3 linked regions of the Diceros bicornis minor genome follow. The protein of the gene in region 2 interacts with the protein of the main gene of each other region in a pairwise test. Links are inferred from orthologs where the notes say so. Each region holds a gene or a part of one and is shown on either strand. Other genes may lie near its edges.

The links.
Region 1: the proteins of EXOC1 (region 2) and TRIM9 interact in a two-hybrid assay, tested with the Homo sapiens proteins (2 studies listed by BioGRID and IntAct). The link is inferred for Diceros bicornis minor from reciprocal best matches to the Homo sapiens genes EXOC1 and TRIM9.
Region 3: the proteins of EXOC1 (region 2) and SYBU interact in a two-hybrid assay, tested with the Homo sapiens proteins (2 studies listed by BioGRID and IntAct). The link is inferred for Diceros bicornis minor from reciprocal best matches to the Homo sapiens genes EXOC1 and SYBU.

Annotation. Positions count from the first base shown.
Region 1 is NC_080744.1:1,164,212-1,172,155, forward strand, and holds the start of TRIM9 (E3 ubiquitin-protein ligase TRIM9), read left to right. Parts: upstream 1-4,937; 5' UTR 4,938-5,022; coding exon 5,023-5,844; intron 5,845-7,944. UniProt on the Homo sapiens protein: E3 ubiquitin-protein ligase which ubiquitinates itself in cooperation with an E2 enzyme UBE2D2/UBC4 and serves as a targeting signal for proteasomal degradation.
Region 2 is NC_080747.1:43,525,398-43,533,081, reverse strand, and holds the start of EXOC1 (exocyst complex component 1), read right to left. Parts: upstream 3,003-7,684; 5' UTR 2,851-3,002; intron 1-2,850.
Region 3 is NC_080760.1:27,009,330-27,017,074, reverse strand, and holds the start of SYBU (syntabulin), read left to right. Parts: upstream 1-4,738; 5' UTR 4,739-4,776; intron 4,777-7,745. UniProt on the Homo sapiens protein: Part of a kinesin motor-adapter complex that is critical for the anterograde axonal transport of active zone components and contributes to activity-dependent presynaptic assembly during neuronal development.

The sequences.
Region 1 (7,944 bases), on a different chromosome or scaffold from region 2:
ATCAGAAATGCTGTAGGTCAGCCAATCCCAAATGCTGCAGCTCAGCCAATCCCAAATGCTGCAGCTCAGCCAATCACAAATGCTGCAGCTCAGCCAATCACAAACGCTGCAGCTCAGCCAATGAGAAAGGCTGCAGCTCAGCCAATGAGAAACACTGCAGCTCAGCCAATCCCAAATGCTGCAGCTCAGCCAATGAGAAACGCAGCAGCTCAGCCAATGAGAAATGCTGCAGCTCAGCAAATGAGAAATGCCCCAGCTCAGCCAATCAGAAATGCCCCAGCTCAGCCAAGGAGAAGCCGTTGGCGCCCTGAACTGTCACTCTGCCCCCACGGACTTTCCTTTAGAACAGCCCCTCCCTGCTCCCCCTTTTTTCCATAAAAGGAGCTCCTCTCCCTTGTTTTCCGGATTTAACTATCGGTTGCCACAGAACGTGCATCCAAAATTGCAATTCTTTTGGCTATTCCGGAATAAACTCATTTTCAGGGTAAAGTAAGCAGCGAATTTGCTTTGTAGTTGTCAATATGAATTTGGGGGAGGTAAACGTTGTCTTGAGCAGATGGTATACTGCGATAAGCAAAGTTCAGACTCATCAAAAAGAGTAACAGCTGCTGACGGTGGAACGTCCAAAGCCCTGGCCAAAGGCTACTGTGACTTTCAGCCAAATGCATACAAAAGTCACAGAAAGGACTGTAACTTATGAGTGGTGCGGACAGTCCTTTCTAAGTTTCTTAATAATTAACTACTTGTTATTAGCAAACTCTCTTGGGACCCATAAATTAGATGTAGCCTACAGATACAGATAACGTTCCAAACCCACATGAAGAAACTCTACATCTGTGAACGGAGCACATGCGCCTTTGGATGCTCTGGACTCAACTAGCTAAAAGCCAGGTTAAACATAAATCACATAGCATTTATGATTAGCATAACTTTAAAAAACAATGAGAACTTTTTCCCCCAAACGGTGATCAAGTGCCGTTTTTATTGCAGCTGGAGAAGGTGTTGGAAATATAACCTAGTTTATTGGACTATTTCTCCAAGGGCAGGGTCATAAAAGGTCCATTTTTTTCTGGGCAGTAAAGTGGCTTTAAATTATAATATAGCTGCACATAATCAAGTTATCTCTTTTTTTGAAGATGGGAAATTGGAAGATTTCTTAGAACTTGGAAAGACTTTTTATCATTTATTTCATGAATCACTAAGCAAAAGGCAGACGTACTATTTCAAATAAGTTAATACTTAAAAATGTCACTATGTCACTTGACTCAAAGATTTTTCTTTGTTGGGGGGGGTCCTCCAACATGAAATCAACAGTTCTGCAGCAAAGGGCAGGACCAGGAATCTCCAGCACTGTGTGGGGAGAGGGGGAAGGGTGCTTAGTCCGTGGGGACCAACACTGGAACCACCCTGTCATCAGCACCAGCACCAAGCATCGGCACCATCACCAGCACCAAGCACCAGCACCAGGAACCATCACCAGGCACCAGCACCAGCACCAAGCACCAGCACCAGGCACCAGCACCAGCACCAGCACCAAGCACCAGTAAAAGCACCAAGCACCAGCACCAGGCACCATCACAAGCACCAGCACCACCGCCAGTTCACCGCAGGAACAAAGATGCCGTCCCCCGCTCGGATACCGCGGACGCTCGGCCACGTGACACCGAACAAGGCCGTTGGAGTCAGCGCCGACCCCGCAGTGACGTGGCCCCCCTGGGGGAGGTAGCAGGCTGTGGCCGTGAGCGCGGAGCACTAGCCCGCCCACGCCGGTGCCCCGCGGGCCCGAGGGCGCGCCCTGCGGGGTGGGGCGGGCTGTCCTCGGCCGAGGCGGGCCGTGAGGAGCGGGGGCGCGTTTACCGGGGCCGCCCTCCGGGTTCACGGCGGGGGGGGGCACCGGTCTTCACAGGGTCCCGGCCTTCCCGTGGCCACAGTGTGACCCTCGGCGGTCCCTGTCCCCTCCAGAGCCGCGCCTCAGGCTGAGGGAGCCCGCGGCCGCCGCCGCCCGACAGCCGCCCGCGGAGCCGCCGGGGTGGGAAGAGTCCAGGGAGGGGTCCGGGGAGGGTCCGGGGGGAGGTCTGAGGAGAGGACCCGGGGGGAGTGTCCGGGGAGAGGGTCGGGGAGGGGGTCCGGGGAGAAGGTCGGGGGGAGTGTCCGGGGAGAGGGTCGGGGGGAGTGTCCGGGGAGAAGGTCGGGGGGAGTGTCCGGGGAGAAGGTCGGGGAGGGGGTCCGGGGAGAGGGTCGGGGAGGGGGTCCGGGGAGAAGGTCGGGGGGAGTGTCCGGGGAGAAGGTCGGGGGGAGTGTCCGGGGAGAAGGTCGGGGAGGGGGTCCGGGGAGAAGGTCGGGGAGGGGGTCCGGGGAGAAGGTCGGGGAGGAGGTCCGGGGAGAAGGTCGGGGAGGGGGTCCGGGGAGAAGGTCGGGGAGGAGGTCCGGGGAGAAGGTCGGGGAGGGGGTCCGGGGAGAAGGTCGGGGAGGAGGTCCGGGGAGAGGACCCGGGGGGAGTGTCCGGGGAGAGGGTCGGGGGGAGTGTCCGGGGAGAAGGTCGGGGAGGGGGTCCGGGGAGAAGGTCGGGGAGGGGGTCCGGGGAGAAGGTCGGGGAGGGGGTCCGGGGAGAAGGTCGGGGAGGAGGTCCGGGGAGAGGGTCGGGGGGAGTGTCCGGGGAGAAGGTCGGGGAGGGGGTCCGGGGAGAAGGTCGGGGAGGGGGTCCGGGGAGAGGGTCGGGGAGAGGGTCCGGGGAGAAGGTCGGGGGGAGTGTCCGGGGAGAGGGTCGGGGGGAGTGTCCGGGGAGAGGGTCGGGGGGAGTGTCCGGGGAGAGGGTCGGGGAGGGGGTCCGGGGAGGGGTCCGGGGAGGGGGTCCGGGGAGGGGGTCGGGGAGGGGGTCCGGGGAGGGGGTCGGGGGGAGTGTCCGGGGAGAGGGTCGGGGAGGGGGTCCGGGGAGAGGGTCGGGGAGGAGGTCCGGGGAGAGGGTCGGGGGGAGTGTCCGGGGAGAAGGTCGGGGAGGGGGTCCGGGGAGAAGGTCGGGGAGGGGGTCCGGGGAGAAGGTCGGGGAGGAGGTCCGGGGAGAGGGTCGGGGGGAGTGTCCGGGGAGAAGGTCGGGGAGGGGGTCCGGGGAGAGGGTCGGGGAGGGGGTCCGGGGAGAGGGTCGGGGAGGGGGTCCGGGGAGAGGACCCGGGGGGAGTGTCCGGGGAGAGGGTCGGGGGGAGTGTCCGGGGAGAAGGTCGGGGAGGGGGTCCGGGGAGAAGGTCGGGGAGGGGGTCCGGGGAGAAGGTCGGGGAGGGGGTCCGGGGAGAGGGTCGGGGAGGGGGTCCGGGGAGAGGGTCGGGGGGAGTGTCCGGGGAGAGGGTCGGGGAGGGGGTCCGGGGAGAGGGTCGGGGGGAGTGTCCGGGGAGAGGGTCGGGGAGGGGGTCCGGGGAGAGGGTCGGGGGGAGTGTCCGGGGAGAGGGTCGGGGAGGGGGTCCGGGGAGAGGGTCGGGGGGAGTGTCCGGGGAGAGGGTCGGGGAGGGGGTCCGGGGAGAGGGTCGGGGGGAGTGTCCGGGGAGAGGGTCGGGGAGGGGGTCCGGGGAGAGGGTCGGGGGGAGTGTCCGGGGAGAGGGTCGGGGAGGGGGTCCGGGGAGAGGGTCGGGGGGAGTGTCCGGGGAGAGGGTCGGGGAGGGGGTCGGGGAGGGGGTCCGGGGAGAAGGTCGGGGAGGAGGTCCGGGGAGAGGGTCGGGGGGAGTGTCCGGGGAGAAGGTCGGGGAGGGGGTCCGGGGAGAAGGTCGGGGAGGGGGTCCGGGGAGAGGGTCGGGGAGGGGGTCCGGGGAGAGGGTCGGGGAGGGGGTCGGGGGGAGTGTCCGGGGAGGGGGTCCGGGGAGGGGGTCGGGGGGAGTGTCCGGGGGGAGGGTCGGGGAGTGTCCGGGGAGAGGGTCGGGGAGGGCGTCCGGGGAGGGGGTCGGGGGGAGTGTCCGGGGAGAGGGTCGGGGAGGGGGTCCGGGGAGGGGGTCCGGGGAGGGGGTCGGGGGGAGTGTCCGGGGGGAGGGTCGGGGAGTGTCCGGGGAGAGGGTCGGGGAGAGGGTCGGGGAGGAGGTCGGGGGGAGTGTCCGGGGAGAGGGTCGGGGAGGGGGTCCGGGGAGGGGGTCGGGGGGGAGTGTCCGGGGAGAGGGTCGGGGAGGGCGTCCGGGGAGGGGGTCGGGGGGAGTGTCCGGGGAGAGGGTCGGGGAGGGGGTCCGGGGAGGGGGTCCGGGGAGGGGGTCGGGGGGAGTGTCCGGGGGGAGGGTCGGGGAGTGTCCGGGGAGAGGGTCGGGGAGAGGGTCGGGGAGGAGGTCGGGGGGAGTGTCCGGGGAGAGGGTCGGGGAGGGGGTCCGGGGAGGGGGTCGGGGGGAGGGTCGGGGAGGGGGTCCGGGGAGGGGGTCGGGGGGAGTGTCCGGGGAGGGGATCGGGGCGAGGGTCCGGGGAGAGGCCTGGGGAGGTAGTCCGAGGGGAGGGTCCGGGGGGAGTGCCGGGGAGAGGGTCGGGGAGGGGGTCCGAGGGGAAGGTCCAGGGAGAGGATCAGGGGAGGGGCTCCGGGGGAGGTCTGAGGAGAGGGTCCTGCGGGAGGGTGGGGGGGAGGGGGCTCCGGGCCGCGCGGCCGCCCGGAGATCTCGGCCGGAGCCCCTCGTGAGGGCGGGCTCCTCACGCCCCGCTCGCGGTGACGGCGCCAGGGTCGCCGGAAACGGGGCGACGATGAGTCCTCCCTCCTAGAGACCCGCCTCCCCCGAACCCGCCACCGGAACGCAGACGCCCCTCACCCGGAGTCACCCGGAGTCCCCGCCAGCCCCCTGGGCCTGCGCGGGAGAGAAGGACGGCGCGTGAGGCCAATGAGAGCCTGCGCGCCCGCCCGCCGTCCAATCGGCGGCTGCGCAGGGCGGGGCCGGGCGGGCGGCGAGCGGGCGGCGGGGTGCGGGCCCTCGCAGAGCCGGAGAGAGCGAGCGGCAGAGCGCGGTGCGGGAGGGGACGCGGGAGGCGCCGGGAAGGCCCGCCGAGGCTGCCCAGCCGGAGGCCGCCGGCCCGATGGAGGAGATGGAGGAAGAGCTCAAGTGCCCGGTGTGCGGCTCCTTCTACCGCGAGCCCATCCTGCTGCCCTGCTCGCACAACCTGTGCCAGGCGTGCGCCCGCAACATCCTGGTGCAGACGCCCGAGGCCGAGTCCCCGCGCAGCCGGCGCGCCTCGGGCTCCGGCGCCTCCGACTACGACTACCTGGACCTGGACAAGATGAGCCTCTACAGCGAGGCGGACAGCGGCTACGGCTCCTACGGCGGCTTCGCCAGCGCGCCCACCACGCCGAGCCAGAAGTCCCCCAACGGCGTGCGCGTCTTCCCGCCCGCCGTGCCGCCGCCCGCCGCCCACCTGTCGCCCGCGCTGGCCCCGGTGCCCCGCAACTCGTGCATCACCTGCCCGCAGTGCCACCGCAGCCTGGTGCTGGACGACCGGGGGCTGCGCGGCTTCCCCAAGAACCGCGTGCTGGAGGGCGTCATCGACCGCTACCAGCAGAGCAAGGCCGCGGCGCTCAAGTGCCAGCTCTGCGAGAAGGCGCCCAAGGAGGCTACCGTCATGTGCGAGCAGTGCGACGTCTTCTACTGCGACCCGTGCCGCCTGCGCTGCCACCCGCCGCGCGGGCCGCTGGCCAAGCACCGGCTGGTGCCCCCGGCGCAGGGCCGCGTGAGCCGGCGGCTGAGCCCGCGCAAGGTGTCCACCTGCACGGACCACGAGCTGGAGAACCTCAGCATGTACTGCGTGCAGTGCAAGGTGCCGGTGTGCTACCAGTGCCTGGAGGAGGGCAAGCACTCCAGCCACGAGGTCAAGGCTCTGGGGGCCATGTGGAAGCTGCACAAGGTGAGCTGCGGCCGGTCCGCGCGCTGCGCCCCCGCCGGGCCCGGTCCCCGCCCGCTGCAGTGCGGGGAGCGCGGGGGCGTCGAGCGTCCCCCAGAGCGGCTGCGGGCTGCCTCGGGGCGGGGCTGCGCCCCGGCGTGCGGGAGGGCGCTGCTCCCCGGGCCGAGCGGGCGCGGGCCCCGGCGGGCGGGGGAGTCTCAGCGGGGGCGCCGGGCGGGGACGGGAGGCCCGCGGGCGCAGTGCCGAAGATCGATCGGGGACGCGGTCCCGGCCGGGCGCTCCGGGCGGAGCGGCGGGCGCGGTGGGGGTCGCCGCACCAGCCGGCGTGAAGGGGTCCCGGTCTGAACGCCAGGCGAGTGTGTCCCCCGGGTGACCCCCCTCCAGCCGCCCACGCGCCCGTGTGTCCAGGGTTCAACCCCTGTCTCCCAGTAGCGTCTGCGAACTGTGGCACACCCGTTACCAACCTTGTCTTCCTGGTCTCTCGTTGGCACCTCCACCAAAGCCGCTTCAAGGAGAGAGCCTTCAACAACGTGTCAGGTCCTGCCACTCCTCTGCTCAAAACCCTCCAGTGGCCCCCAAGTTTCTTAGACTGTCCTGAGAATAGGCCACCAGCACCTCCACGACCTGTTCCCCTTTGACCTCATCGATCTCATTTCCTCCCACTCTGTTCCTGTGCTGCAGCCACACCAGCACCTTTCAGCTCCAGGGCCTTTGCATCTGGTGTTCATGCAGCTTGAGACGCTTCCCGATACCCTGTATCAGGATGGCTCACTCCTGCCTTCTTCAGATCGTGGCTCAGATGTCGTCTTTGCAGTGAGACCCTTCTGACCACAGTTGCTGCTTCGCATCTCAGACACCTCTTGGTTTGCTCCCTGCTTTGTTTTTCTCAGTAGTCCTCAGCACTAACTGGCATGCTATATATTTTAATTATCACGTTACTTTTGTGTTTATCTATTGCTACCCCCCGACACACACACACAAAATAAGCTTCATGAGGAAAGAGATCTTTATAGCATTATGCCCACGCTGCTCAGAAGGAAGGGAACCACTCTTGAGATGTGCATAAATTTGACTTTTACTTTTCAAATAATCCACTTACCTCGGGGTGTGAAGGGCAGGGCAGGGGTTCAGCACCATTGTAGGGAGGTTTTCTTCACTCACTGGGTCACAAGCCCAGGGATGAGGCAGGGAGGTAAGGACGGTGCTCAGGCCTCAGCTGCGCCCGGCTCAGGGTCCCCCAGCATTCCTTGGAGACTAGAAAGGCTGGCCTTTGAGAGGCCATTGATACTTTATTTACAGCAAGAAAGAAAAAAATCACCATTTTCAGCAATCGAGGAGGTTTTCTCAACTCAGTATTAATTGGATGTGATCAGTGTTTACAATCATTTGTGTTCTCACATATAAGCCGTTAAACCACGTTAGTCCTGATGGAGATTTAATTCAGCACAAATTTGAGTTCCATAAGGCACACGCCACTATTTTTAAAACACTTGAATTTAAATTTTTTTAAATGACATTTAATTTTGAAAGTTTTCAAAACTTCAGTTCACAGCCAGCTTTTTCTTCCTATTATGATTTCACTCTTAAACTGCTAATTATAGCTTTTGTTGAATTGCCCTACAAAACTATCCTTGGAACTAAGAAATGAATCACCCTGCCTGGAAAAAGAACTGAGAGTCACAGGCTAATTAGGATGGTCAAACCACAGCATTATTTTTCTGTGAAGAAGAGCCTATACGTTATCCATTAAGACCAAAAGCAACCTTTAAATCTCTGTCCAGCTCATGTAGATTTGAAATGTTAAACCATTTGTTTTCTCAGTAATGGAAGTTGTGAGTTGAGACTGTGGTGAGGACTGGGTTGAAATTTGGATGTCTGCTAAAAAAGAATAATGTTCGGGCCCTTGGAGACATGACATAAGTAGGCTAGGAAGGGAATGTTGGTTCATTTTTAAAAAGACCATTTCTTCCCTGATCTTTTGCACATTTTTTCCAAAATAGTAAGTAGGTATAATTTTTTTTCACTCAATTTAAGGATTATTAAACTGCCAAGAAAAAAATAAAGCAGAAAGCTGACAGATTTTAACATTCACGTATCATCTGT
Region 2 (7,684 bases):
AAAATGAAGAAATTATGAGTTTTAAATAAATGACTTAGAAAGAATCTTTATAACACAATGACACTTCTGTAAACTAGGTATCTCCTATATTTTACTCAATCTGTGAAACTTCTATCTCTGCTCCAACTCACAAAATTGCTTTTCTCACAAAAATCACATCTTCCCACTTCCATCCCTCTTTTATCTCATCTCAGCCTCTAGTCTTCTAACCATCTCCTCCTTCCTGTTTTCTTAGTCTATCTGGCCTCTCCAAGCTTAATTTCTTTTCCAACCTAGCCTACAGTCAGTATTCACTTCCCTACACCCCCACTCTCCCCTTCAATTATCTTATACTGTTTGTAGACCAGTGCACCTTGTTTATCAATCTCCATAAACTGTATTTTTTCCTCCACTTCTCTTGGGCTACCATATGCCACTTAAGAAGGCCACATATCCACGTTCATTGCATTCATTACAAATATCTAAATCCAGTCAAAGCTAGACTTTCAATGGTGCTCAGCAATTCTTTAACACTTCCTTTGATAATTTTTCTTCCTACTCTCCATCAGTCTTGTTGCAAATCCTTATTTTTCTCCTTCAGACCCCAACTTTAGTGCCAGCTTCCTCCCTCGCTGCAAATGACTTCACCATCTACCCTGCAGAGAATATAGAAGCCATGAAGTAGAATTTTCCCCAATGGCTTTCTTTTCCATCTCTCTACATTTTCACCCATCTTAACCTCCATTCTTCCTATTACCAAATGTCCATGTTACTAATCTCTTACTATGTCCTAGGGCTTACACACTTTGTTAAAAGCTCTACTCCATCCTACCCCCAAGTCACACTGGATACTGGCTAGTTTACTTTTCTATCTCTGGGCTTTTGTTCATGCAATTTCTTTTTCCTGGAATTCTTTTCTTCCTGGGAAAACTCCAACTCATCCTGCAAGATCCTGCTAAAACATCTCTCTTCTGTGAAGCAGTCACACACACACAAAGAATTCCTTTTCTACTTCTCTAACATTTCCTCTCTGCTCTGCTAACATACCACTTACAAACCATATTTTGTAGCTAGTTGTATTCTCTCCCCCATTAAAAGTAGCTTCTGTAGGCAAGGACTATGGCTTATTCATCTTTGTATACTTAGAACTTGCCAAAGATATAACAGGCATTTAAAAAATTAGCCAAAATGACAGCACCAAATAACATGACAATTATAGCTTCCCTAAGGTTCCCCCTTCCCAACTCTCACATCTGTAAGCAAACGTCCAGGTTCAAAATCTGTCATATGTGATTCTCCTCCTCCATTGTCAACATGCAATTTGCTACCACATTGTTGATTTCCCCTCAGCTACACATAATTTATCTTTCCTTTCTGATCCCACTGTCAACACACTAACCCAGGTTCACATCAACTATATCTATTTAACACTACTGTATCTGGTTAGCTCTTTGCAAACTTCCACAACCCAAAAGCAAATAATAACATTAAAACACAGCTTTCACGACAACATGCCCTTGCTCAACATTTTCCTAATCTTCCCAAATACAAACCTTCCACTCCAAGCCCTCTGTTCATTCGGTCTTTAAACCTTTGCTTAGGTGCTTTTCCATGCAGGGAATAGCATCTATCCTAATTACATGGCTTGGTTTATATGAAGTTGATTCAATACAGATCTTAATCCAAATTGATCTCTCCTCTCAATTGCTACAGCACGTATTGTATTTACTAAACAAGCACTAATTGGTTCATGAGATCATAAGCTCCTGGATCTCAAGAACTTTCCTGAAAGAGAAGTGAGGGAAAGAGATGCTCTAGCATAGTGTTTTGTTCTTTTTTAGCAGGTACTCAACAAATACCTCTTGAGGTAACCTGAACTGACTAGTAAAAACTGGTCAAATGAATGACCAATAGTAGCCAGCATCTACCACACAGCCCCTCTTTGATCAAAAGCAACCACTGACTGTATGGTAAGGGGTAAAACAAGAAAGGACGGGGCATACCTCATAAAGGAGTTAGGCATAATGAAACGCACTATGTGACTCTCATTCACTCAGCAAATATTGATGCCTCCTAAGCACCAGACACTATTCTAGGTTACAGGGGTGAACATGACAGACATATTCACGAAGACAGGAAGATCCACGCCTCCAATGGCATTTACATTCCACGGATCGAGTGATTAATTCTCCAGCCTGTACAGTACCTTTTTGTAAGTCAGTGAATAAATCACTAGAGGTCCTCTAAAACTATTTTCCAGGTTTAAGAACCATGTCTGACCACGTTCCAAGGGCAGTCAGCCACAATACTGTGTTGGTTCTTGTTTCTTTAAATTCATTTGGATCATTCCACTGCGTGACAAATAACTTGTCAGTGTCAGTGTCCGTGCGGGTTGGGCCCTGTATGCTATCGAGACATCAATGCGCGTGGAGCACTGTCATCCAGAAAACTGTGCACGGAACCAGGGAAATGCACTTAAGAGATTTAGACGAAAATGTTGATTTGGACAATGAAGGGGAAGGCACTGTCACGCCCTCCTCTCCTGGTCCACGCCAAAGAGCAAACGATCAGGGTCGGTTTTTTTACAAATGAAATCTGGTTCCTCTGGGCGGAACCGGAAAGGGATGTGTAAAGATTGCCCTCCCAGACCCCAGGACAGCAAGGGGTTGGGGGATGCTCCGACTGGACTCTGCGCCTTACCCAGACAGGCAGGGAAGAGAAAGGGGGCCTGACGGCGGAGCCAGCGGTATCCGACCCCGGGCGCCGAGCCAGCAGTGGGACTAAGGGTCCGCCTTAGACTCTGGCGCCCGCCAGTCCGCTCGTCTGTCCGCCAACGCCGGGACCACTGCGCAGCCGCGGCCCAAGGCTTACCGCAAGACCGGACCGAGCCCGGCTGTGCCGAGGCGCGTCCTCCCAGACGGAGACTGGATGCGGCTGGGGCAACCACCGTGACAAAGATGTTCCCCTCAATTGAGCGGTGGAGAGGACGCAGCCGTTCCGCCACCACTTCCCATATCCGGGCACGTGACAAGCCTCCACGCCGGAAGTCGACCCCGTAGAGGAGGAAGGAGATGCGGCGGTGGGCGTGGCAAGGCGGGGCAAGCTCCCGCCGGAGGGGCGTGGCAAGGAAGGCAGGGGCGGGGCCTCTGTCGCTCTGAGAGTGACTAGGGACCTGGGGATTTGGTGCTGCGTATTACTTTCTCTAAAAGAGTTATTTATTCAGATATTTTCAGCAAGTCATATAAGAAGAGATCCGATGAAGTATTTTCTTTTTTGCATGTGTAAAGCTCTGTTAACTCTAGATCCTTGCTACTTATTGCATGGAGAGTTTAAATGAGTTAAATCAGAATCTCTGGGGCACGGGACCCAGACATCAGTACTTTTAGTATCTTCTGAGAAGATTCTACTATGCATCTACCGTCGAGAACCACTGATGTAGTGACCCTGATATTCAAAAGTGTGGTCCGCGGACCAGCTGTTTGTGCATCATCTGGCTTTTCTTTAGAAAATGCAGCCTCTCCCGCTTACTTCAGATCTACTGAATTGGCATCTGCATCTTAACAAGATGACACCTATGCACATTTAAGTTTGAGAAGCACAGATGATGCCAGTGTTGCTGGTTGCAAGGCAAGTGATTCATTTATTCCATGTTCTTGGCACCTGTTTTATGCCAGGCACTTTGATCGAGGTGCAGAGGTGATTCAGACAGGAATCCTACCCTGCAGATGTTCACAGTATGGTAGGGCTAAACAAGATATGCATACAAATATGTATAAAATAAGACAAAATAAGTGACCAAGAGGTACCGGTCAGATAAGTGCTGAGAATTCAAAGGAGCGATTTCTTTGCTCCTGCTCAACGCAGTCCTTTGCAAGGGTTCTGCAGGGATCCATTCATGCATGCGTTCATTTATTTGACAAACAGCGCCACCTCTATGCCAGGCACTGTGTTAGGTGCTGAGATACACTCAGAAGGGGGCACACTCTCATTGGGGAGACAGAATTAAATAGAAGATGGATAAATTACAGTCTAGTGAGGTAAACCCAACAACAAAGGTAGAAAAAAAGAGACTAAGTACCACGGGAATGCAAAAGAGGGAGTAACTCACTTTGTCAGGGATGGATTCACTGAGAAAGGGACAAATGAGCTGTGCAAAGTATCTTTCAATGTATCAAGATACAATTTGGTGGAAAAATCAGCAGAAATAGTAGGGACTTGTTTGCTACTGAGATCAATATGCTCTAGTCAATGCTACTTGGAATGCTTTTCAGTTTCATTGAATGACTTCCCTTCTAAGAGCAGGATCTGTATCTAATCCTATCTTTACAAAGACTCCTTAGGTCCTTCCCACTCAGTCTCAGAACACTTACTATGGACACTTTTTATATGACAATTGCATGTGCTATTTTGTCCTATATCTTTCTTTTTACGTGTGTATTTACTGTCCTCTTCAAAGTTGAGAAGTGAATTGCATTTCAGGAGCCTGGACTTCTTCCCTGAACTCCAGATTTGTGTATCCATTGCCTCCTCAATACTTCCACTTGGATGTCTGTTGGGCAGCTCAAACTTGTGTGTCCAAAAATTAAATTCTCCTCTCTCCTCTCCCCTTGTGGATTCCCCCAAAAGTAGAGGCTGAAACAAAGAGTTATGTGCAGTAGTTTATTTAGGGCTTTGATCCCAGAGAGCAAGAGTGAGAGAAGGGGGAGGGGAAATAACACAAGGAAGAGGGAGAGACAATATAAGGCTGTGTTATCGAGTTGGCATCATCATGTTTGAATGTTTTCTTGATCCCTTGGGACCAAACTTCATGAAAGAGTCTCAAAACAGTCCACTGAAAGCTCTGTCCTCTGTCAGCTCCTGTCCACCTTTGATCAAAGGTTAATGCTCCTGGGCATTGACTACTCCACACTTCCAAATTGCAGCATTGTGAATGCCAAGCTGACTCCCCCATCACAGAAGTCCTGAGGCAGGAAGTAAGAGGAGAGGTGCTGTCATGGTGTACTTGCCCAAAACTCATCAACCTCTGTTCAGAACATGTTGCTGCAGCAGTGGTTGGAATAAGAAGATGAAAGGATTTGAAGTAGTGACAGAAAATACACAGAAAGACACAGAAGGTGTCCATTTCAGTCCACTCCTTGTACCATTCGTATCTGCTTGTGCCCTGTTAAGTCTAGTCCTTTACAGAGGCCCCTTCAAGATGATGGCCACTCACAATCTCTGCAAGGACTTAATATAAGAGAGTTAGTGGAATAAGCTTCAGTACCTACTGCTACACTGAAGCCAAGACCTTACTTGTATTCATTAACTCCCTCCTCTACTACCCATTCTAATGTCCCTTCACTGTTGGCTAGCACATCAACTGATCTAGGTTGTTTCCCTGATGAGGTAACCCAGACCTTCAGCTTTCATTTTCCTTGCTCTGGTTAGGCCATGATTGCCTGTGCAACTTATCCCTGGGTACAGAAATACCAAGATAAACCCCAGTGAATTCCTTGGATTCCAGATTTATTCCTCCCTACTGCTATTGTGTAGTAGCAATCCCAGACTCTTTTGCTAATCGCAGTTGATTACTCCCACCAATATAGTAACTCTTTTCTTTGCCAGCTGGTCTACTGCCATGAAAAGCCCAAAGAGACCAAGTGATAGTGAGAGAGTTTCCAGCTCAGTGCATTCCATCCTGTGTATTCTAGGGGTAGCATCCTCCACCCAACCCTTGGGGAACTAATTATAGTAATCTAGCAAAGCCTAAATTTGAGAGGCAGGAAACACAAACTCTGTAAGTGGGTCACTGAGAGTGATGTTAAAATAGGCCAATCCTGCTCCTGGGTTTCTGGAGTCACGTCTTTAGCTGTTGGGGGTGCTCTCTATTGGTTGGTTTCGAGCACTTACCACATCCTGTAGGACAACACTCCAATCTCAGGCAGGCACATTAGCTGAGCCAGTAACAAGTCATTCCACCATTTTTATAATGCTGGCTGCTTCTGAGTGATGAGGGATATGACAATATCAGTGGATTCCAGGGTCATGTGTATGTTGTCACTTTTTTTTTTTGACTGTAAAATGTATTGCTTGGTTGAGGTAATGTTAATCAGGAATGGTATAATTCCAGTGATTGTGGATGTTGGCAGAGTCCCTTCAGGCAAGAAAGACAAACCTAGGAATCTGTAAATATTTTTACTTCAGGTCACTTCTCTTTATATACAAAGCAAACAATGAAGAATACTGCTCCAAATTCTGCCAACTGGGAAGGTTCCCCTTCAACTTTGTTCTTTAAAGCCATCCCTAAATGGGCTATAGTGCAGCAGCAGTCCAATTTTGCCTACCCACCAGCATCATGTGCCAACCCATCTGTGAACCAGGCTCAATTTTTTTATTCTGTGTTAGGTATTCGTGGGGAACTCTAAGAGGCCATGGGAGTGAGTTGAGAAAGAAATATCAGTGCTATAGAAGTGCCATGGGAGTCTGAGTTATCCATTCATGTAATTTATTTGTGTCTTCTGGACCTGCTCAGCCTCAATCCTATACCGTTTCCGTACTTCAGTAGGTTGCTGCTGCCGCACCCATGCACTTATGACTTGGTGGATCTGGTAATATCCAGCTCATGATAGATAGCTCTAGTTTCCCCAGTGGAGAATAGTTCTCTGCCTCAGAAGGCATGGCCTTGGAGAACTCTTGGGAATCTGTGCTGCAACTCTCATACTGGGGGCCTTCCAGAAATTTCACGCAGCGCTCTTATCCATCACAGATCCCTCCAGCACCATTAGATCTGCTAGAACAAATGGCCTAAGCATTAGGCAACTTGCGTCACAGCCCTTCTGGGCAACGTATGCAAGTAATGAGTACTTTAGTTTCACAATAAGTTCATTACAACATCTTTACTTCTGGGAAACATATTCTAGTGGTGGTTCTTTAGTCTCACATAATAAATTCATTCTGACATTCCTGCTTCCCTGAGTCTTCTGATTCCTTTCTCAATACTTATTCAAAGTTGTTCTAACAATCTCATTTAGCACCGGCCATCATCATACTCAAGCTTTCAGGAGGTACCAAGGCTATGTGTTAGGACTGACTCCAGGTGTCCTTGCCAAAACATTAAATCCAGATCACAGGTAAATGGCACTATCTCTTAAGTTTTCTCTTCCAGCCTTATAACCCGATTCCTCTGTCTGATACTCTAAATATTCACTCTCACACATATTCCACTGGTGTCTATTGGTACATAATAGCCAGTTTTGCAATTCCTTTTGAGTTAGTCTATAGTTTAGTGGTTTTCAACTGGAGGGTGATTTTGACCCCCAAGGGACATTGGGTAATGTCTGGAGACATTTTTGGTTGTCAATACTGGGAGGGTTCTACTAGTGTCTAGTGGGTAGATGCCAGGGATGCTGCTAAATAACCTACAATACAGAGGACAGCCCTCCACATCAAAGAATTATCCAGCCCAAAATGTCACTAGTGCTGAGATTGAGGAATCTTGGTATAGTTCTCTTTAGAGTAGGGATTACAATCCCCTGCATGGGTTGTGCCGTGATCTGACTCTGGTTACGGGCTTGAAGCCATGAGGGTAATGGGGGTGGTTATTGAGGAAAGTAAGGTCATATCAGGAGGCACTTGCCCACATATTTTTTTTTTGTGCAGCATTTCCAGACAAGAAGAGGCTGCTTTCCTTTATCAAGAGGAAGGAGACTGTTGGCACAGAGAATGG
Region 3 (7,745 bases), on a different chromosome or scaffold from region 2:
TGGAAATTAAAAGTGCTATGGGAGCACGTAGGAGAAACATTTAATCTAAACTTTGGGAGATTAGGGATTGTGCATATCTAGCATCTAACACTGGCTAGCATATTAGTAGTGAAACAACTTTTTTTTTGAAGAAGAGAATTCATTGAGAACATGAAATACTCGAGTAAGATGCTAAGGGATATGGTTGAGACACCATTCCAAAAGACCACTGGCATTTCCACCACAAGGGAACTAACTTAAGATCTCATTTAATTATCACATCTAGCTCATTGTACAGCTAAATTATCCAAATATTTCAGGCTTGTGTCCTGCTCCAAAGGGGTAAGACTCCAGGTGGGGTCTCCTCAGCAATAATCTGGGTCAGGTGCCTGGACTGAGAGGTTGACTCTAACACTTGCTGACAGCTGGGAGACCCACATAATCTTCATATTGTTCTTCCAATTCCCTTCAGTAGATTTTATTGTGATTTTTTAATGTCAAAGCCCCGCCTAAAAATATGACCTTAATAGCCTCTTGGTTTCTCTTTATTTTGCGCACACACACACACTCTTATACCCAATATTATCTCACATATGATACATACATACATATATATACACAATCCATGTATATGTATATATGCATATATATACACAGTCTGACTCTCTCCATTAGAATATCAGATCTTGCAGAGAAGGAATGCAAACTGTTTTGTTCACCACTACATTCCCAGCATCTAAAACAGTGCCTGATATATAGTAGGTACTCAAATATTTATTGACTGACTCTGCCTAGTCCTATGGTACCACTTTCTTATTTTAGAATTTTCAACATTATTCTTAAGGACATGATCTGACTGTAGACAATTTCCTTTCTCTGGGCATTTGTTTCTTCATTTGTAAAATGCAGGAAATTAAATAATCTATAAAATGTCCATTTATGCTAAAACTTCATGACTCTGTGATCAAAACTTTTTTGAATTATAAAGTATTCCTTTTCCAAGGGCCAGCCTGGTGGCTTAGTGGTTGGGTTTGCACACTCCACTTTGGCTGCCTGGAGTTCGCTGGTTCTGATCCTGGGTGCAGACCTTCACACCACTCGTCAAGCCAGGCTGTGGCAGCGTCCCACATATGAAGTGGAGGAAGACTGGCACAAATGTTGACTCAGTGACAATCTTCCTCAAGCAAAAAGAGTAAGATTGGCAACAGATGTTAGCTCAGGGCCAATCTTCCTCACCAAAAAAAAAAAAATTCCTTTTCCACTTAATTCACTATGTAATTTCCATTTAGTTATTTTCTTATTGTCATATACAATAATGTACATGTAGTTACAGTTCTCAAAGAACTTTTGCTTCCATTGTTTCCTATGACACCTCGGACTGCTGGAGCATTATAATTATTACTTCTGTGTTAGTTCTACAGATGAAGTTTACTTAGTTTATTACTTAGTTTAGTTCTATAGAGGAAGAACTACAGGCTCAGAGAGGGTATATGAGTTGCTGAAATTCACCATGCATCTCATTTCACTAAACCTATCTGTTATGAATAAAAGTTGTTGGCTTGGCTAATACTTTAAGTATTTTTATAGTCATATAAAATAATTTTCTCCAGAGTATTTTTTAATATATATTCATCTCATATGTGTAGTTGAAGGGAATCTAACATGGTTCTCCAGTATTCCCAAGCATTTTGGTTAGACTCTAGCCCAGCCCTTTCTATAGGAAAAGAGAAAGCTACTGGCATGTTTGAGTTGAGAGCACAAAACATGACCAAATCTACTCCCTGTCCATCCTGCAATAGTGTCTAGTATTTGATTTATTTCTTTGAGTAAAGGCATGGCCTCCAGAAAACCCCCACAATGAAAAAGAATACAGAGTAATCAAAAATTTTTGGGTTCAAATCTCCACTCCACCATTTACTAGTTTTGTGACTGTAAACAAGTCATGGACCTTCTTTTCTTCATCAGGAACGTGTACTAAGAATAACTACTTCTTAAGAAAAATGTAATAATTAAATTAGATGGTGTAAATTAGTGCCTGGTATATAATACACACTCAGCAAATGTGAGCTCCTCCCCATTCTGGCAACTTGGAGGAGAAACATATCAATCTAATCACATTTTAACAAACAAGCTGTAAGGCAATGGAAAGAGGAAAAGGAAAAACAAGGTAGGTCTGGAATGTGGTACTCAGTAAATGTTGCTGAATGAATAAATTAATTACAGACAGGTACTAGCTCTACATATTTTGATAAAAGCAATGAAGAAACTAAACTTCAAATATTCTTAGTGCAAGACAATTACAGTTTAGCCCTAGAAAAGAAAGGCTGGCATTTCTTTGCAATCACTTTAACTGAATTTGTTTTCCTTTAACTTTGGGTTTCTTATAGGACCATGTGGCTTCTGGGCACCATTGGAACCTTCCAACTTGTGAGCTGGTTATTTAACATTATTCTCAAGTCTAGAGAAATCAAAAGAGAATCTTCTCTAGTCTAGAATCTAGGAAGAAACAAGTAGGTAAGAGATAAAGACTTTTTTTGGCAGCCAAGAGGAATGAGTCCTGGCTTGGAAACATGGGTGTTGAGAAGGAGTTGGGTGCCAGACAGAAGAAACAGGGAATCAAGAACTGAGGAAGCGCGATTGATGCAACATCTCAAAGGCTTCATTAGATAATCTTTTAAAGTCCCTTCCATCTCCAAGATTCTATAAACCCCCTGGTTTAAACCTTACTCCCAAAATGAATTCTACAACAGTTTCTACAATACACTGTATTCTTGTAACATGTCCAGGAAAGACTGAGTTCAGCAGTTTGTGCTCGGATATTTGTCTAGAGAAATTTTTGTATTCTTAATTCTGAAGGTCATTTTATAGAAGATGCATTGTGGAGGACGTATATGGACAACGAGTAGGAAACTAAGCTCCTAGGGACAAGCGCCTCCTCTTGTTCCACAGCAGCCAGCACTGTGCCCACTCTGATGAAAACTATTCCTAACAGGATTTTCCTCCTCCTCCTCCGTCTTCTAGTTCACTTAGCGTTTCCCACTCAGGAACTCCACGTCAGTACCAAATCACCCAACCCTCTTCCCCATTTTACCACATTCATACCCATCCCACACCACCCCATCCCACCTCACCTCACCACACACACACACACACACACACACACACACACACACACACTCTCCCATTAGATAAAAATCTAATGACATTTCCTTCCAGACGGGTTGGAATCCCTGTTTCAAAGGAAGCTATAAAACTGCAAGGGCTTGAGACTGGTTATCTTTAAACCCAATAGTCTTACATTTCCATGGCACTTTACATGCACTTTCTTTTTTAGCTTTACAACAATCTTATAAAGAACTAAGAGGGATTCAAAAGAAATAATCCAGGAATATCTGATGCAGAGGGCCTTGAAGCTTGGATTCTGGAGAGAAAGAAGAGAGAAAACCAAATTCCTAGGACACAGTCCCAAGAGACCATGAGATAGCTGGTGAAGGAAATGCAGGTGCAGACAGCAGATCTGACGAGACGCCAAAGGCGTGGGGTTATCCCTGTTGAAGGTTGAGGGAGTTAAACTCACTGGTTCCACCTTGAATGGGAGCGAGGGGGCAAGGTACATACTAATATCTAGTAATGTCAAGATTTGGCGAAAGAAGAATTTTCGTTGTGATGGGGTTCCAGTGTGTTATGAATCTGCATTTTTAATGGAGGAGAGGGTTTCCAAGACTTAGAAAACACCAGAGAGAAGAAACCTAAGAGTCTGAGCCTCTGATGAGAGAAGTAGGAGAAGGGATGACCAGAGGAAAATGAGTTGGAACAACAGAATAAAATGTTTCATGCATTTAATATGTGCCAAGATAAATAATTTAAGACTGCTGGGTTTCAACTGTATGAACTTTGCACTGTAAAGTTCTCAAACACACAAAGAGAAGTCGGTTGTACCTTAAGCTGACTGTGTGTGCTAAACTCTCACGCATAGCCTGAGAAGGGGAGCCAGGAAAAAGAGAAGAGGGTCAGCGTAAGGGCAGGGATGCTGTTCTCCAGAAGCAGTCTTCTGTACAGAAAGTGCCCTTTAGGGTAAATATGAGGATTAATCTAAGAGTAAGCAAGTAACATAAGAAATTCACCTGGAAGAGCCTTTAGCCTGACTGTGGTGGCTGCTCTTCGACCCTTAGCTGTGGTGGGGCAGGAGGATGCAACCAGGTACATCATGGAGCTCTTCAGCAAAGCTGAATGTTCTTGACGGGGCCACCTGGCACTCTGGCAATTCTGAGGAAAGAAAGTATTTTCCCACTCAGCTCTTCAAAAACCCACTTTCCCAGAAAAGCAGCAGTGGGGGTGAAGAATTAGTTTTGCATTTGGACTAACAAATTAGAACCGTTTTCTTTCCAGTTCGGAGGTTTCCTTCAGCCTTTCTTAAAGTCAATACAAATTAATCTACACTGTATTTGCTATTAAAGAAGTCTGGAGTATTTTATTTTGTTTTTTTAAACCCAATCGCCATTTTCCCCCGAGAGCTAGAAAGTAAATGGCCACGTTTATCCCCAGGATCAGGAAATTCAGACAGAGGCACGTTGTTTAGGAGGCGCCCAAGGTGAAGTCGGAAAGAACTTGTGGCTGCAGGTCAGTCTTCCTCTCCAGTTTTGGGCGGTGCCTCCTGAGCTGCCCCCAGACAGATAGGCTGTGGTCGCCAGAGGAATTTTCCCAGGGAGAGACTGGCCTGAAGGGCACCTCAGGTCCACGCTGCGGTTTGCAGTGGTTTGCATCACCAGCGCGGGGACAGCGTTTTCGTTAACTAGGGTGAGTGAAGACCGCGAGCGGACTCCGGCCCCAGGCCCGATCCGGGCAGGCGCGAGAAGGGGGTCGCGCACCGCAGATCCTCCCCCCTTCGCCGGTTCCCTCAACCGGCGGGAACCCTGAGCCTCTGCAATGCGCCGCCCCCGCGCGGCTTCGGGAAACAGAGCCTGCAGCTCAAGCTGCTGGGGCCCTGGCGACAGGGGCCGAGCCTGCAGATCGGGAGCCCCGGGAGCAGGACCTTGGAACCCCTGGCGCGCAGCCCTCGCCGGGGCACGTCCCTGCGCCCCACCTACTGGTGCCGGCCCTTTGGTCCCCCGCCTCTCTCCCCGCTTCGTGCGCAGCCCCGGCCGCGCTCCAGCGGCTGCGGAGGCCGAGAGGCCGCAGGGACCCGAGCGTGCGGGCGGCGAAGGCACCACGTGTCCGACCCGGGCTGGCGCGGGCGGAGCGGGCCGGGCCCGACTCCCCGAGCCTGAGCTCACATCAGCGGCGGCGCCCGGTCTCGTCCGCACCCGACCCCGGCCCAGCGGGGCCACGGCCACTCGGGCGCGCGTGGATGCCTCCTCCTGGACGGCGCGATGGGGCCCTTCTGGCAGAGAAAGGGTAAGACCAGGCGTCTGCGCGGGCTCTGCTGTCAGTGCCCCCGGGCACGGAAGGGTGACTGATCCTTGCGGTCCCATGAGGGCCGAGATGGGCGCTCGGGACCCCGGGAAGGCCCCTTCCAGTGCCTGGGGGTATCCAGGAAAGGGAGACTCAGTAGAGGCAGACTGAGGGACAGCGTCCCTGATTGATTGGTGACTGAGACGGTTGGGCTGGACGTCTCGTTGCAACAGGCAAGGTTGACCAGGCCAGTGGTTTTGGGTCGCCCTTTACTAATTGTCCTCGGGAGTGGGGCTTAGAAATGGTGCCTTTTGATAAGGAAGGTTCAGTAACGACTTTACGGTATCCGAAAAGAAAGCCTCAGTAGATCGCTCCAAAGATGTGGATGCCAAAGTCCCCGGAGGACACTTTTCGAGTTTCTACTTCCTTGGGGATTTTTCATACAGATTGTTTCAGGTGAGGAGGGAGGACCTATTTTTCAACAATGTGTTGTTGAAGGCCTCAGCTGATGAGCTCAAAACATTCTGGGTGTCATCAACAGGTTTGAATTTAAAATGGGTGAACTGTAGGGGCCGGCCTGGTGGCGTAGTGGTTAAGTTGGCGCCCTCCCCTTCTTTGGCTTGGGGCTCGCGGGTTCGCATGCCAGGCGCTGACACACCGCTTATCAAGCCATGCTGTGGCGGCGTCCTGTATAAAGTAAAGGAAGATGGGCACAGATGTTAGCCCAGGGCCAATCTTCCTCAGCAAAAAAGAGCAGGATTGGCAACAGATGTTAGCTCAGGGCTAATCTTCCTCACCAAAAAAAAAAGTAAAATGGGTAAATTGTACAGAGAAAGAGATCTGTAAGCTTAAACTGGTGCGTGGGAAAAGATTATTAAAGCTTTAAATGGAAGGAGTCACCTGGGGAAAGCTGCTTTCCTGTTGTTTTTATCATGTTCTTCTGTGTTGAACAAGCAGTGAGGTCAAGGAAAGCAGGCACCTCCACTGCTAGGTTCCTTGCAGGTCCTCTGGCCCCGACCACAGACCCTGGGCAGCAGAAGCAAAGAGCAGCTCCAGTGTCTGAATCTCTCTTCTCAGAAAAGGGCCAAATTTGAAGCCCACAGTTCAGAATCTTCAACTTACAGTTTCTGCTGCAGCACTGCTAGCTCAGATACTTGGCCAGGCACATGTTAGAGATGTTTGCTGCTTCTTCCCCAAAAGGTGCCCTTGGGGGCAAAAGAAGTAATCGCTGTGCCAAGGTGTCTCCACCTGTACATTTGGGAGAACAGTAGCACCTGTCCCCTTGAGAGATGGGTCCAAGTGAAATTATTTTTTTACTTGCTGTAGGTTTTAGAGCAGAGATATATTATCACAATGCAGCTTTTGGTTATTTAAGTTATTTGGTAATGACACTATTTTCATGCAGAACACATTTAAAGCACACTGTTCAATCCTTGTTGATCTCCATATATTTAAATCATATATTTAAATCATATTTCATTAACTTGGTTTGCATTTAATAGTCTTTAAAGTGATATAATTGAGACCAAATAACTGTATGAGTTCTTAAATGGTAGTTTCCTGAAAAACAGAGTCCAAACTTACATTTTTATAGATGAGCTACTGGGGCTGGCAGAGAGTTGTCCAGGGGTGTGAATTAGCCAGTGGCAAACCTAGAACCAGCCATCTCTTCACACCCAGTCCCGTGGCTTTCTCATAGGGGCTGGCCCTGTGGCGTAGCTGTTAAGTGCGCGCGCTCCGCTGCTCGTGGCCCAGCTTCGTATCCCAGGCACACGAGGATGCACCACTTGTCAGGCCATGCTGTGGTGGCGTCCCATATAAAGGAGGAAGATGGGCATGGATGTTAGCCCAGAACCAATCTTTCTCAGCAAAAAGAGGAGGATTGGCAATGGATATTAGCTCAGGCCTGATCTTCCTCACAAAAAAAAAAAAAAAAGAAAAAGAAAGAAGCATAAAAGAGTAACTTTACAGACTAGTGATTGGCAGGACTTTGAGATGGAGTGAAGGAGTCTGTGACTGTAAAGGAGTAGAGTAGCACGAGGGAGATCTTTGTGATGATGGCATAGCTGTCTATCTTGATTGTGATGATGGTTATACGAATCTACATATGTGATAAAGTATCATAGAGCTACACACGCACATTGCACTAAGGTCAGTTTCCTAGTTTGATATTATAGTACTTTATTTTTTTAATTTAATTAATTTTTTTATTGAGGTAGCATTGGTTTATAACATTATATAAATTTCAGGTGTATATCATTATATTTCAACTTCTGTGTAGACTACTTTGTGTTCACCACCCAAAGTCTAACTGCCGTAAGTCACCATACAAATGTGCCTTTTTAGCCCTTTCGCTCTCCCTCTCCCCGCTTCCC